Macaca fascicularis: one gene and its partners. The protein of the gene in region 2 binds, or shares a complex with, the protein of the main gene of each other region. Links are inferred from orthologs where the notes say so. Each region holds a gene or a part of one and is shown on either strand. Other genes may lie near its edges.

What was found.
Region 1: the proteins of CCNA2 (region 2) and CDKN1B are in contact, whole or in part, in a crystal structure (PDB 1JSU), measured with the Homo sapiens proteins. The link is inferred for Macaca fascicularis from reciprocal best matches to the Homo sapiens genes CCNA2 and CDKN1B. Residues at the interface, in NP_001228.2 of Homo sapiens: Met210, Ile213, Leu214, Asp216, Trp217, Glu220, Val221, Glu224, Met246, Arg250, Gly251, Lys252, Leu253, Gln254, Leu255, Tyr280, Ile281, Thr282, Asp283, Thr285, Tyr286, Thr287, Gln290, Arg293, Met294, His296, Leu297, Lys300; in NP_004055.1 of Homo sapiens: Lys25, Pro26, Ser27, Ala28, Cys29, Arg30, Asn31, Leu32, Phe33, Gly34, Val36, His38, Leu41, Thr42, Asp44, Leu45, Glu46, His48, Cys49, Asp51.
Region 3: the proteins of CCNA2 (region 2) and CDC6 are in contact, whole or in part, in a crystal structure (PDB 2CCH), measured with the Homo sapiens proteins. The link is inferred for Macaca fascicularis from reciprocal best matches to the Homo sapiens genes CCNA2 and CDC6. Residues at the interface, in NP_001228.2 of Homo sapiens: Met210, Ile213, Leu214, Trp217, Glu220, Val221, Glu224, Tyr225, Arg250, Leu253, Gln254, Glu277, Tyr280, Ile281, Thr282, Asp283, Thr285; in NP_001245.1 of Homo sapiens: His89, Thr90, Leu91, Lys92, Gly93, Arg94, Arg95, Leu96, Val97, Phe98, Asp99, Asn100.

Annotation. Positions count from the first base shown.
Region 1 is NC_088385.1:15,479,572-15,484,829, reverse strand, and holds the start of CDKN1B (cyclin-dependent kinase inhibitor 1B), read right to left. Parts: upstream 3,617-5,258; 5' UTR 3,140-3,616; coding exon 2,641-3,139; intron 2,131-2,640; coding exon 2,009-2,130; 3' UTR 2,001-2,008; intron 1-2,000. UniProt on the Homo sapiens protein: Important regulator of cell cycle progression. Inhibits the kinase activity of CDK2 bound to cyclin A, but has little inhibitory activity on CDK2 bound to SPDYA. Involved in G1 arrest. Potent inhibitor of cyclin E- and cyclin A-CDK2 complexes.
Region 2 is NC_088379.1:126,897,149-126,902,323, forward strand, and holds the start of CCNA2 (cyclin-A2), read right to left. Parts: upstream 3,378-5,175; 5' UTR 3,140-3,377; coding exon 2,927-3,139; intron 2,153-2,926; coding exon 1,909-2,152; intron 600-1,908; coding exon 487-599; intron 294-486; coding exon 70-293; intron 1-69. UniProt on the Homo sapiens protein: Cyclin which controls both the G1/S and the G2/M transition phases of the cell cycle. Functions through the formation of specific serine/threonine protein kinase holoenzyme complexes with the cyclin-dependent protein kinases CDK1 or CDK2.
Region 3 is NC_088390.1:61,372,140-61,377,272, reverse strand, and holds the start of CDC6 (cell division control protein 6 homolog), read right to left. Parts: upstream 3,617-5,133; 5' UTR 3,398-3,616; intron 2,249-3,397; exon of another isoform or gene 2,138-2,248; intron 1,744-2,137; 5' UTR 1,731-1,743; coding exon 1,553-1,730; intron 128-1,552; coding exon 1-127. UniProt on the Homo sapiens protein: Involved in the initiation of DNA replication. Also participates in checkpoint controls that ensure DNA replication is completed before mitosis is initiated.

The sequences.
Region 1 (5,258 bases), on a different chromosome or scaffold from region 2:
CTATGTTAGCTTGGAAATACTTGATGAGGAAAAAAGTTTGATGACTACAGTCATCTCCACCTAACATTCTCTTAACTGGATTTTTTTCCTCTCTTCTGTGCTGTGTTCTTTTGTCTAGAGCAGTGGTTCTTAACAGTAGGCAATGTTGCCCCCGCTCCCCAGGGAACATTTGGCAATGTCTGGAGACATTTTAGGTTGTCACACTGTGGGAGGAGGATGCTGCTGGCATCTAGTGGGAAAGACCAGGGATAATGCCAAACAATCTACAACACACAGGACAGCCTCCTACAACAAAGAATTATTCGGCCCAAAATGTCAGTAGTGCAGAGGTTGAGAAACCCTAAAGAATCCAGGTCAAAGACAAGTGGGAAATAAATAGGAAAATTAGGAAACTGTAATACTTAAGAGTAAAAATTTTCTAAATTTTTTAAAAATTTAGAATTTTTTTTCTCTACTCCTGTGACAGATTAAATTTTCTAAATTTGAAAAATGATTAGAAATAAAAATCATAAGGGCCTTCCAGAAGAAAATTTTATTAACATCATTTTCAAAATATTCTAATTTCTTATTCATATGCAGAAAATACTCATGAATACTTTTGAATAGGTTCTTACTAATATTTCTAGTATTCTTTGAACTAGCAATATTACTAAATGCTATAAATGCCTCTCTGCATGTCAAAACGGGGGCCAGATCAAAATCCAGGTCCGATTCTCATGGCTCATCTGATAAGCTGGGCCACAAGTCACAAACCAACAAGGGCTGCGTGTGTTAAGGTTGCTTCAGGGAAATTTTCACCTGATTTTCCCACTTCACATGGTGCTATAAAATAGAGGTTCTATAGTGCCGTTTTGTATAAGCTCTGAAAAATATAAGATATGTAAAGTCACATATACAATTTAAAGACACAACACACCTGAATCCCACCGTAATCCCTGTTGTTTTAAAATTTTTTATAAATGAGGATTTAAAAAGTTAACATCAATATTAAGATCGCCTCATATGCTAAGCTACGTGTGTGCTTTAGAAAATAAAGAGGTCAGTCTTGGTCTATAAGAAGCTAACAAACTATTAATATATGTAGTTCGATCATTATGAATAGCCAATCCATGTACATTTGGGGACTGAATTATTCAAATTAGCTATTTACAGTGATCAGATTCTTGTGCATGGAAAAATCTCCACTTCCTTTGTGCTGGGCTGACCTGCGGTCACCAGTCTTGATATTTACTACCCATTTCCCCTACAAATATCCAAATCACCCTGTTACGGCACAATTAGCATACACTGGCTGACGTGTTCCTGGATTGCTTACTGACGAGAGTTAATTTAACTTCTGCTTTGCAACTTCAGTGTTACCAGAAATTCTGTAGAAACTTTAGTAATGTTTTTTATCTTTCCATTTTGGTTTTTGCAAATACTGGTTCCTTCTCTCTCCAAACTTAGGAGCAAACAAGGAAAGTGACAGTTTATGACAATGTCAAAGAACACAACATACCACCCACTGACATCTCTAATCCCTTGCATAACCAAAGGTGAGCAATTTCTACCAAACATTCCCCCTTAAAATTGAAACTTAATAATGTACTTGCCATTTTTCCATGTATGGCTCAAAATCTGTTACTGACTCAAGCTGAACCTCTGGGAAATGAATTCTCATGAAGTGGGACTGAGGGAGTACCCCAGTTCTTGTTCGGATGGGCGAAGAACCTATTGTTCCCAACATATTTTAGTGGGACTCACAGGGAAATGACCTTCTTACCCGATGGGGCCTTGGTTACAAGTAGTTGCTCTGGTCTACTGTTTCAAGAGAAAGTATCTCTAGGCATAGAAGAATTACAGTATCCCCAACCTTCCCATTGCTACTTTTTTGACCTCACGAAAGTATAAACAAAACAAAACCCCAAAAGATTGTAATCTGCCAGCAACCAGCAAGATCAGGTATCGTGAGGTCTGATGGCCCCGGGTTTCAGTACGTGCTCCTTTAGTGATCAACCCACCTAGCTGTTTACGTTTGACGTCTTCTGAGGCCAGGCTTCTTGGGTGTCTGCTCCACAGAACCGGCATTTGGGGAACCGTCTGAAACATTTTCTTCTGTTCTGTTGGCTCTTTTGTTTTGAGTGGAAGAATCTAAGAGCAGAGGAAATTTTTAAAAAGAACACACAATCTTTATTAGAAAAAACAATGGCTGGCAGAAGTTGGCCCAATAGTCGCGGGACGAAAAACCCACTCCCTCCACCCACAATCCAGGATCCGTCATCCTCAGTAGCCTTTAAGGACACAAAATGAGGTTGTTTTCAAAAAGAAGAAAGTGCATTCTCCGCCCCAGAGCTCTCTCCCTAGCCAGGAGGCGGACCGTTGATAAACATCCCAACTTTGTCACATACCTAGGGGTTGCTAGTGGGAGGGACGGCCATGTCTTAAGTTAGGGAAATTATCGGATCTTACCATTTCCAGTTTCTGACTTAAAAGTCACAGACAAGCAGTGGGCCAGGTAGCACTGAACACCTAAGACCAATAAAGTTCGCTCTCCCAAAGCTACATCAGAATACGCCGAAAAGCAAGCTAAGGTTAGCACCCTCCAGCAGGCAAAGCGGGGCCCCAGACACAGACTTTCTGTGGTTGGGAAGGGGTCATTACCGTCGGTTGGGAAGGGGTCATTACCGTCGGTTGCAGGTCGCTTCCTTATTCCTGCGCACTGCTCCGCTAACCCGGTCTGGCTGTCCGACGGATCAGTCTTTGGGTCTACCAAATGCGTGTCCTCAGGGTTAGCCGGAGCCCCAATTAAAGGCGCCGCCGGGCGGCTCCCGCTGACATCCTGGCTCTCCTGCGCCGGCACCTTGCAGGCGCCTTTGGGGGCCCGCGGGGGTCTATAGTAGAACTCAGGCAAGCTGCCCTTCTCCACCTCTTGCCACTCGTACTTGCCCTCTAGGGGTCTGTGATTCTGAAAATCGAAATTCCACTTGCGCTGGCTCGCTTCTTCCATGTCTCTGCAGTGCTTCTCCAAGTCCCGGGTTAACTCTTCGTGGTCCACCGGGCCGAAGAGGTTCCTGCAGGCCGAAGGCTTGGGGTGCTCCGCCTGCCTGGCGTCCATCCGCTCTAGGCTAGGGCTCCCGTTAGACACTCGCACGTTTGACATCTTTCTCCCGGGTCTGCACGACCGCCTCTCTCGCACTCTCAAAAAAACAAAACAAAACAAAACCGAACAAAACAAAACGCCCCTACGCAGCCCGAACCCCTCTCGGAAGCCCAGCGACTGGCCTCGGAGCCAAAAGACACAGATCCGGACAAGCCACGGCCCGAACTCTAGGAGCGCGCAGGGGCTGCGGGGAAGCCCCGGCACGGCCGCCGAGAATCTCCGCTGATCAAATGGACCGGCGAGCGAGAGGGCGGGGAGGGGAGGGGTCCAGGCAAGCGGAGAGGGTGGCAAAGCCCGTCCGAGTCCGGGCGGGTACAAGCCCGCAGGTCCCGCAAACCCAGCCGCTCTCCAAACCTTGCCGGCGTCGGAGTCGCGGAACCGTGAGCAAGCGGGGACAGGGGAGGGGGAGAAAAACACCCCGAAAAGACGAGCCCCCTTTTTTTAGTGGCCCAATATGGCGGTGGAAGGGAGGCTGACGAAGAAGAAAATGATTGACACGGCGAGTCTATTTAAACAGAGGAGGAGATCCATTGGTTGCGGCGCCGGGAGCCGCCCCGCCGAGGCTGGCGAGCGCGGCCTTAAGGTGGCCCCGGCTCGGTTCCGCCGCCTCCCCGCGTTCCCGAGCGCGCCGCCTCCCCGAGCGCCGCCGGGAGATTGGCTGGTCGCGTGACTGCTGGAGGGGTAGTGCTGCCAACAAACCTGCTCTGGCTGGCCTCGGAGAAATTAAAATTAAGACAAACAAACTAGCCAAACGGCCGGGAACCTGGGGCGGGGCCTGGGGTTCGGGGCCCGGCGCTGCACTGGCGGGTGCGCAAAGGCGCCTAAGCCCCGACCTCCCTCCCGCTCCTCGCGGGGGAAGCCGGGGCCTGGACCAGAGGACCGCGAAGATCGCCGGCAGCTCGCTTGGAGCCGGGGTGGCGAGCTGCCCCCAGCTCGGCCCTCCCCGATGGCCCCCACCTCGCGGTCTGCGGGGGAGGCCGCGGAGCGTTTGCTGGGGGGCTGGGCGCCCCCCCTGCCGGCGTGCCTTAGCTGGGGGTGGGTGGAGGCGGTGGGCAATGGTTGGCTCAGCCTTAACCCAGAAGTTTGTGCCATCCCTGGGGAGGCTGGGGGCCTAGGAAAGAAGCCAAGGCGAACGTCTTTCTTTCAGAAATTAGCCAGGAGTAGACGCGGCACTTATCATGAACTCAAGCTCTCCCTCAATGAAAATAAGAAAGGAACTCAAGATTAAAAAAAAACTCAAGTAGTCTCTCAAGTCCCTTAATACACTTTGTAGCTGTCTCAGACACATTTAGTTTTGAAAAACGAGGGTACGCCCCTGGCCCAGGATCTTGTTTCCCAAGCACAGTTAAGGCCATGGACATTGGCTGCGTGTGGGAACTCCTCTCTTTCTACTTTTCTGTTCTTTCCCGGGATTGTAGCAGTTTCCTCTACCTGACTCCAGCCGCCAAATACAACAGCTCCTTCCTTCCTCCACCCTTCTCTCTCACCAGATTTCACTGCTCCAACAAACTCAGAACAATATTCAGATGCTAGTGAATGCTTTCAGAGGGCTGAAGAGTGAAAAGACTCCCCTCGGGGTCAAACTCCAGATGATGAAATGATTTTTAAAACCACCACATCTATGTCCTAACGTCCGATGCTAGTATTCCAGCGTTTCTCTTCTCCCTTTTGCAACTGGAAATTTCTCTCTCAGTGTGGGCTTGAGCACCGTGGTGGAAGGTAAAGTAGGACGATGAGCAGGGCTGCCCCAAGAGCTCAGTGGATCTTCAACTGCCTCCCCACCCCCATGCCCACTACCCATCATCTTGGTTTGAGCCAAAGTTAATGCATTTTACTGGAAACCAACCTTCCTTTCTAACCTTAAACAGCAGCAAAGTTTTCTTATGCACCTATGCTACAGATGAACTTCATGTGTCGCTTGTTTTCTTAGCCACATCTTGTTTGTCCACTTTGTGTGCCTACCTCATCTCATACACTCCAGAATGTGACAGCTGGAAGGGACCTTCGGGACCCTGTGGTTTAACCCTCTCCTCTTTACCACGGAGGACATTGAGACTCAGAGAGGTTTCCTGTCCAGGGACATACATTCGGTTGGTACCAGAGTCAGGACTAGATGCAG
Region 2 (5,175 bases):
CATTAAAAATCAATTTCTTCCCTAGACAAAAGATCGTGATCACTTTTAAACAAACCAAGGTAGACTTACGAGGCTAACAGCATAGCAGCAGTGCCCACAAGCTGAAGCTTTCCTCTCAGCACTGACATGGAAGAAAGGAACCTATCAATGTAGTTCACAGCCAAATGCAGGGTCTCATTCTGTAGTTTATATTCTTCTCCTACTTCAACTAACCAGTCCACGAGGATAGCTCTCATACTGTTAGTGATGTCTGGCTGTTTCTTCATGTAACCCACTTTAGGTTTACATTTAACCTATTGAGAAAAGTATTTAGTAGTGTTAAAATTGCAATTAGGTTATTTTACAATTAAGAGAGGCTACATGCTATAAACTTAACTGTAGCATTAGAATAATTCATTAGTTTAAAAATTTAAACATTATCCTCTCAATTTCATTTAGCCACATTTAACAAATACATTACACAAACTGGATTCAGAGAACCTTTACCTCCATTTCCCTAAGGTATGTGTGAATATCCTCATGGTAGTCTGGTACTTCATTAACACTCACTGGCTTTTCATCTTCTAATACAATTGACATGTCCATAGTATGTGGTGACTCTGGGACAATTAAAAAGATATGATTAAATTAATTGTTTGTCTACTTAGTTTAATAGCTAAAAATGACTGCCCTTGTAAGGAATTTCATATTAACAAAGCACTTATTTCATCAAACTAAAAAGAGCTTCTCATGACGAAAAAGGTAGAATATTTTACCTTAGTCTCAGTATCTCTGTACATATAGCTTTGGAATGATTTTAGTTAATGAAGGGGGAAAGAAAACCATATTAGTAGGCCCCTAACAGGAAAACGAGAATCAGGTATTATCTTAAAGTATCCATCTTCCACAACAGAAAGGAGCAGATGGCATGGTGGTTCTGTTAGGACAGAACATTTAAAATCCAAGTTTTGAGATAATATCTAAGATTTGCCCTAAGAGAGACTGCAGATCCCAGAGTCTGACATATACAAAGCCCAATTAGGCGATAGCTAGAATCAGTTAAATGGCCTCCATTAACAAGTGTTATTAAGAAATTAGGTTTGTTATGGGCAAATGGATTAACACTATAAATTTATTTTTTGTAGTATAAATTATCTTTTGAAGCAAAGAGTATCATCCATTATTCTTTTCGCTTCAAAGATCACCTTGAGATTAAACATTTTCTGCAAAATTTTGATAAAAACACACAAATTATTATTTCCAAAGGACTTTTCCTGCTCACCCCTCCTTCCCCACGATCTATACAACTAAAACTAAAATGAGACTGGATTTAGTGAGCTGTCCAGTGACTCGATATCCCTAGGGCAAAGAAACAGTACAAACTGCAAAGAGCTGTTTGCAGCAGCTACTTTAATACATGGGTAAGAGTAAACAGCCATGGTACAACTGTTTACTTGTAGGAGGAAAAGTGTCACCTTCTGGTATCAGATGATAATCCAGACTGGTTTTATAGAAACAAAATTATAAAACTGGAAGAGATGTTATGTAATCACAATATTTAAGACTGCATCTTCAAATAGCACTCTCTAAGTGATATATAAGTGAGTTAAATAAAACTGAAATCTATTCTCCCAACCAAGAACACATTTATGGGATCAGATTAAAATAAGCATTTAAGATCTAATTATAATTAGACTGATGTGACTGGCAGTGAACCTGAAAGAGCACTAGGTTAGGATCCTTTTGTACATCACCAGGTCGAGTGTTAGCTGTGAGATCTGAGATAAGTCACATCCTTTCTAAGCCTTGTTACATTAAACCTAACTCACTGTAATCAAAATGACTACATAAGACATCTTAAAATGCAAATCATTAATATCTAATAATTATAATTACCGTAAATTCATATAGATTTTCCTTAAAACTTACCAAAACTACCATCCATTGGATAATCAAGAGGGACCAATGGTTTTCTGGGTCCAGGTAAACTAATGGCTGAATTAAAAGCCAGGGCATCTTCACGCTCCGTTTTTTGAGATTCAGCTGGCTTCTTCTGAGTCTCTTTTTCTGCTTCATCCACATGAATGGTGAACGCAGGCTGTTTACTGTTTGCTTTCCAAGGAGGAACGGTGACATGCTCATCATTTACAGGAAGATCCTTAAGGGGTGCAACCTAAACAAAAATAAATAACTGGCTTTGAGCCTACTAAATAGTTTTGCATTCTTTCTCTTATGGGTGTTGGCCTTTGCTTTTTCTCCCAAATACTCTATCAGGAATTAAACTTTCTGGGACAAACAATAGTTTGAGTATTCAAAAGAGAAGGGATGTTCCCATTTGTCACAGGCATTCCCACAAAGGCTATCAATAGATAACACTAGGTGGAATTATGCAAAACTAATCAGGGCCACAAGAAGGGTCGGGTGGCAAGTCAATACATGACAAGTTTAGGAAAGACATGGCAAAAAAGTGTTGGTTCACCACTGTCGCCCGAGGGTGGAGCAACAGAGCAAATCCGGCTAAAATGGCGGAATTTGCCAAAAGCAAAGTTATTTCGTACACCCTTTTCTAAAGTAGAGGTTATCTCTTAACCATGAGGAGGAGGGGGGTCAGAGTCCTACAGTAGTGCCTGGGGTTTAAAAGTGGAGAGAAAGGCGCGGAGCTGAGCGAAGACTACACGTTTTAGAGCTTGGTTTGACCCCATTATGTACAGGCAGATGCCACCTATAGAGAGCAGACAGGCAGCATACACAGTGTTGGCGGGGTCCTGATGCTAATAATGGGAGAATTCCTATTGTGGCATCCCACACACCAGCACCAAGTGGACTCCAGACTCTGGCCCCCTTCCAAAAGCCCAGGACATGCCTTCTCGCCACTCTTCTCTGCCTGCTAAGCCAGTGCCAAACCCTGCTCGACCCACCCTCCTGCAGACATCCCGCATCCCTTTACCCGTCGCGTCTTCGGCCTCTGCTGCTGCGCTAGACCCCGCGGGTTCCCGGCCTTCAGTACCGCCAGCGCGGCCCGGGTCCGCGGTTGCTGGACGGGCGCTGCCTTTTCCGGGTTGATATTCTCCTGGTCCTCTTGGAGCGCAGTCTGCTGCAATGCTAGTAGCGCTGAGCCCGCCTCGCGGGTCGCAGGCCCCGGCGCGGAGTTGCCCAACATCACTGCTCCCGGGAGTGGACGGCGGGATCAGCCTGCGGCGCCAAGCAGCGTGCACTCTGCCCAGCCCACCCGGCCAAAGAACAGTCGTAGCCGCCGGTCGCAGCCCAGGCCAGCCTACCCGCCCGCCCGCTCACCCAGCTCGAGACCACGCAGGGTCGAGGAGGTTGCGAAAGGCGCAGGAAGGCACGGCCGGGCGTGGCGGGCCAAAGACACCCCGAGATGTAGCGAGCAGCCCGCCGGAGCGGCGGCTGTTCTTGCAGTTCAAGTATCCCGCGACTATTGAAATGGACCAATGAAAGCGCTCGCGGCCTTGACGTCATTCGAGGCGACAGGGTCGCAAGCGAATGAAGGAAGCACCAAAGGACTCTGAGCAGGGGCGGGGCAGGAGGGAGAAACGAACTGGGGCTGGGGCGGGAGAAAACGCCTGCGCGGGTCGGGGAGAGCTAGGGGTACTCAGGGCCCGAGCTTCCGATTACTTTGAGCCACCTAGAGAGCGAGGCGGTCCAAAGGCTGACTCTAAGCCTTTTAGGGAATTAAGCGGAATTAAACTTTGGCGACTATCATTTGGGCTGCCCAGCCTTTAGCTCTGGGACCTCTAGTTAGCTCAAGTGACTTTTTCCCAAGGTCTAAAATCTGGACCACGTTTTTCAGTATCTCCGATTCTCCGTTTTCTTATTTGTTAATAGGGACTAATAACTACAGTCAAACGGTTATTAGGATTAAATAATGTGCATAAATTAACACGGAGCTCACATAGTAAGTAATACAGTACTCAAGTGTCAGACTGTAGTAATATCTTAACATTTAGGCATTTATTCATAGTAACCAGAAATTGTGTTTTATGCTTTTTATTTTTCCTAATGAAGATGCAATTAAGTGCCACCTTGAACTACTGTTGATATATATATAATAAATATACAATGCATTACAAAATATTCAAATAGAGTCATTAATTTTTATCTATTTTTCCCCAAGCTGTGGCAGCCAACAAAAAATACAATGACATTCTAGTGACCTAGATAAATTATGTTCCTTTCAGAAGTAAAGTTTCTTTAAATATAGTAAAAACAATATGATCTTATTAAAATAAAATTCTCTTAACTATATATGTGCCTGTAACAAATTTTAATATTTATATACAAAGCTTGCACGTACCTAGTAAGTATAATAGCATATCATTAAGAAGCATTGTTTTCTAAAAAATTAGTGAGTCTGCCCTTCTTGAAACAAAGCTTATTTTCCATTATCTTTATGCCATTTTAAGACGTTTCAATATTTCTTTGAAATTAATAAATATGAATTAAGATTAATGTACAAAACTTCTGTAGCCTTAATGTCATATATGATAAAAAGAGATCATACTGGTATAGGAAAATCTAAGATGGCATCACTATTTCTGCACTCTTCACTTGTAGCATGCTTGAATAGCTCCACTGGTTACAGCATGTCTAGTTAAGATCCCCCGACTCTGTGTAAGCTCTTATTTCCCTGACTACAATTTATAGCACTGAGCCAAGTCCAGCATTTCCACAAACTGCAGCAGAGTCATAAAACATCACCAAGCAAAAGGAAAATCAGTTGCAAATCAATCCTATCTCCTAGAAAAAATAATTGGTAGGTTACTTCCACTAGCTGGCAACATACATAGTAACCAGGACACAAAGCAAGTACCAGTACTTGGGTTCTGGTCCCAGCTTTATAAAGTACTAGCATGTCCTCTTAATCGCAAAATTTCACTGAGAATCAGTTTTCTTATATGATTTGACAAACTTATACAACAGTTGTTAAGATCAAATAAGGTAATATATAAAAATACATTTTGAAACCTATAAAGCAGTTTATATATTTATGTGTTTATGTACCTTGTAATACATTTGCATATATTTTCATTTTCCACATATTACTTCTCAATTTAAAAATTAAAACAGCCACTTATCAAAAATTCATTAAAATCCTATTTAAATCATTCTATTTGTGTTTTAAAAATAAAAACTCTTTTAGAAAGTTCAACTTGGCAAAAGAAACAGAAGCATTAC
Region 3 (5,133 bases), on a different chromosome or scaffold from region 2:
AGCTGATTGTCAAATACCAGTCTTCGTCCTTTAAGTGTACGTGAGTGAGGGGGACCATTCTCTTTCTTGCCTTGCTTTGGTGGAGAACAAGGAGGTAAATGGGGAGTGTTGCATAGGTTGTCATCACCTGAAACATAATAAAATCAAAATGTAGTCAGTCATAGCATTGGATAGTAAAAGGATGTGCAAGACCTCTGCCTCTCCCAGAAAGAGGTGAATTTCTACCTTAGAACCACCAACATAAAATGCCTTCTCACTTAGCAGCAAATATTGGCCACCAGATGGCACCACTGATCTTACTACAGTAGTGCCCTTATCCACCGTTCTAGTTACCCTCAGTCTGAAAATACTAAATGGAAAATTCCAGAAATAAACAATTGACAAGTTTTAAATTGCATGCAGTTTAGTACCATGATGAAATCCCACACCATCCTACCAGAGACATGAATCATCCCTTCAGCCAGCATATCCACACTGTATATGCTATCTACCCACTAGTCACTTAGTAGCTGACTTGGTTATCAGATCAAAAACACAGTATACGTAGGGTTTGGTACTATCCTCAATTGCAGGCATCCACTGGGGGTCTTGGAATGTATCCCCCATAGATAAGTGAGGACTACTGCATTTAGTAGAAACCAAACGGGTTTTACCAGGATGAAATTGTAAGGCTGTTTTGAAACAGGTTTTCTCAATGTTGGCACCACTGACATCTTGAACCAAATGATTCTTCATTGTCAAGGAGCTGTCCTGTGCATTGTAATGTTTAGCAGCATCCCTGGCCTCTACCCACTATGCCAGTAGCAACACCCAGCTGTAACAACCAAACTTGTCTCCAGAAACAACCAAATCACCCCTCCATTTAAAAACAAATGTTCCAAAACAAGAAAGAATTACCAACCACTGTTCTAAAGGACGGAAAATATCCAGCATGTCACCTTTTTGTTTTAATTTCACAAATATTGAGGTTAAATTTCATAATACCGTGTAACTACAAGGTAACTTAAAACACTGACAGAACTAAGTTCAGTATTAAGGAATTGAAGATCAGACCTATTAAGTAGTTCAGAAAGTGACCTCAGTAAGTGGCTTAACTCTGGAGTTTGGTAAGCACTTAGCAACCATTCTGAAAATAACTAAAATGAAGAGTAGTCTTAGGGTCAGGAGCGGTAGCTCACGCCTGTAATCCCAGCACTCCGAGGCAGGTGGATCACCTGAGATCAGGAGGTCAGAGACCAGATTGGCCAACATAGCGAAACCCTGTCTCTACTAAAAAAAAAAAAAATTAGCCAGGCGTGGTGGTGGGCGCCTGTAATCCCAGCTACTTGGGAGGCTGAGGCAGGAGAATCGCTTGAACCTGGGAGGCAGAGGTTGCAGGGAGCTGAGATCGCACCATTGCACTCCAGGATGGGAGATGGAGCAAGACTGTCTCAAAAAAAGAAAAAAAAAAGTCTTAACTGAACTTAGAAAGCTCCTTCAAAGGACACACATCTTACTGAGAAAAGAAAGGTCACGAGCTGCTAGTGAAAAAGTGATATAATGGATGGTTTACCCAGACGTTTCCTGGGGCTGAGAGGCAGGGCTTTTACACGAGGAGAACAGGTTACAGCTTGAACATTTGTCGGTTCTGGTTTGGCATCACTTGAGTTTTTAGTTTTGTTCAATGCCCGAGACAGCTTCTTTTTTGGAAAACTGATTGTAGCCTGTGCCTGGGATCGGGTTTGAGGCATGATGGCAGCACAGCTAGATTAAAAAAAAATAACAGGACAACTAGTCAATATGTGAAAGTGAAGAGAATAAATAAATTTATACTGATGATTAACACTTATTTCTTAAGTAAATTATGTTATCACAATATTTTAGCATTCAGTTTTGCTTCACATCCAAATCTATGCAAGAACAACTGACATTTGTTGTCTACCTACTACGTGGAAGCCGCTGTTATAAACACTTTAGGTACCAATTCGTTTAACAACTATCTTAAAGAGGTAGGTACTACTATTAGCCTTTATTTTACACATGAGAAAACTGAGATAAACAGTGGCCCAAAGTCACAGAAAAACAGGTATGTAACCCCAGGCATTCTGGCGCCAGAGCCCAAGTTCTTAACCAACTGAGCGATGCAATAAGAAGTTACCTGAAATAGGCCGGGCGTGGTGGCTCACGCCTGTAATCCCAGCACTTTGGGAGGCCGAGGCGGGCGAATCACCTGAGGTCAGGAGTTCGAGCGAGACCAGCCTGGCCAACATGGTGAAACCCCGTCTCTAGTAAAAATACAAAAATTACGGCTGGCTGCGGTGGCTCACGCCTGTAATCCCAGCACTTTGGGAGGCCGAGGCGGGTGGATCACGAGGTCAGGAGATCGAGACCATCCTGGCTAACACGGTGAAATCCCTTCTCTACTAAAAATGCAAAAAATTAGCCGGGCGTGGTGGCGGGCGCCTGTAGTACCAGCTACTCGGGAGGCTGAGGCAGGAGAATGGCGTGAACCCAGGAGGCAGAGCTTGCAGTGAGCCGAGATCGTGCCACTGCACTCCAGCCTGGGCGACAGGGCGAGACTCCGTCTCAAAAAAAAAAATTAGCCGGGCGTGGTGGCGGGCGCCTCTAGTATCAGCTATTCGAGAGGCTGAGGCAGGAGTATCGCTTGAACCCGGGAGGCGGAGGTTGCAGTCAGTGAGCGGTTGCAGTCAGTGAGCGGAGATCGCGCCACTGCATTCCAGCCTGGGCGACGAGAGGGAGACCCCGTCTCAAAAAAACAAAACAGGCCGGGCGCGGTGGCTCAAGCCTGTAATCCCAGCACTTTGGGAGGCCGAGACGGGCGGATCACGAGGTCAGGAGATCGAGACCATCCTGGTTAACATGGTGAAACCCCGTCTCTACTAAAAAAAAAAATACAAAAAACTAGCCGGGCGAGGTGGCGGACGCCTGTAGTCCCAGCTACTAGGGAGGCTGAGGCAGGAGAATGGCGTGAACCCGGGAGGCGGAGCTTGCAGTGAGCTGAGATCCGGCCACTGCACTCCAGCCTGGGTGACAGCGCGAGACTCCGTCTCAAAAAAAAAAAAAAAAAAAAAAAAACAGTTACATGAATTGATTTATATAGAACTTCTAATTCCCTCTCTCCAGGAACGCGGGGTGTCTTTATCACCAGTTCAGCCCAGCATCCGCCACATTTAGTCTCTTCTCTCCCAAGTCCTCACACTACAGTTCAGTCTTCCCTCAGTTCTCTCCGCCTCTGCACTCAGTCCTCATTCTAGGCAGCTCTCAACGCACCCCAGAATATTTCCTTCCTACAACTTTCAGCTCCTTCATACCACGCACAACTGCTATAACTACCCTGAGGGCACCTGCCCTTTCCCTGATCCTGACCTCAGACCGCCAGCGAGCTCAGCTCTTTTACCTTCACTTTACCTCGGGCCTCGCCGGAACCCGCAGCCTTCACGCAACTCCGCTGCCTCACAAACCCCAGGCCTCCTCGAGCAATCCTCTCCTTCCCACCTCCTCAGTGCAGGATCCTTCTCAAGTCTCTCACACGCAGGCTCAGGGACTCACCACCACAAGCCCCTGAACAAACTGCACACCGGCAGCAGCAAAATACAGCCGCGCTCGCGCCAAATTCGAATGGCCACAGTGTTCCCACCTCCCGCCAAAGCCCGGCCTCGCTTCTGATTGGCTGTAGTCACAGGCGCCGTTCGCCTTGTGCACCGCCTCTTTTTTTGCTTCCAATCCAGTAGAAGAGTTACAGCCAATGAGAGAGCCCCAAGTCTTAGCGTCACTGTGAGGCCATGACCACTGAACGGGTGGGAGGGACTCTACATCCGGGGCCTCGGTGGAAAGACGCGCGATCGCTGCAGGGCGATTCTGGGCAAGACGGGCCGGCCCCGCCGCAAAGCACGGTGGGAGGCGTAGTCTTTGCTGCCGCGCGACTCTACTTCCGCGCTCTTCCTTCGACTGGATGTGTCAAGATGTGGTTCCCCATCTCACTGCCGAACGCACCCATTTGCATCATCCTGATGGGCTAGATTTTCAGAACTGCTACATGATACCTACCGTTTTGGGTTCTGTGCACCAGGTATGATGCTAGGCACTTTACTTAATTCTCTAATGCTCAACCTCGCAAGGTACAAAGCAAACCTGTATACAAGGTTAGAGGTCACAGCATCTTGGTGACAGCGAAAAGCCTAGGATCCAGATCTACTGATGGCTGAACTAGTGATTTTTTTGGTAAAGTTCTACACACCTATATAAAGAAAAACTATGCTTCATCATAGTATCTCTTGATTCGTGCTTCAAAGATGAGAAACAGCCAAATCTTTGCTTTTATTTCGTTCAACGTAAGAATATTATGTTCTGTGCACATTCTTACCATTAATCCACACATCGTGGGGAGAGAATCATGACCCCTTAATTTTAAAATCTTTTATGGCGAAACACCAGGGTTTCAGGGCCAGGGAAGACAGCTATATAGAAGAGGCAAGCTGAGTTTTTAATGAAAAATATAAATTAGCGCAGTAATTTGGAGGCCAGCTTCCAAAGCCAATAACTCATCTAAGCCTCAGGCTCCTTTCGAGGCCAGAACCCAATTCTAGGTGATGGTAAACATTTATCTTTTACCTCTCAGTAACAAATAAAATAGAGCCATAAAGCCTAGAAAGAGGAAAGCAACAATATTACGATCATCAGTTAATTGGTACCTAGTTCATGAAGAGAGGCAATATTGAGTGCTTAAGTGTATGCCAGGGACTGTGCTCAGTATTTTACCTACATCAGCTTATTAATCTTCACAAGCACCCCCACGAAGCTGGTGTTATTTCATTTTACAAATGAGGGAACTACAGTAGAGGGGAGTTGAGAAAACTTGCCCAAGGTCACACAACTAGTAAGTGGAAAAGCTAGAATTTTAACTCTGAACTCTGACAGAACATCAAACTCTTGACCACGTTATCATAGGGGGATGATTAGACAGATTCAGATTCTAAACAGGAAGAGATGGTGGAGTACATTTTGTGAAGGCTTTTTAGCAGCTGAAAACTCCAAAAGTGAAGAGAATGGGCTGTCAGGAATGGAGAAAGTTACCACACAATGGAAGCTTTTTTTCTTCTTCTTCTGAGACAGAATCTCATTCTGTCACTCATG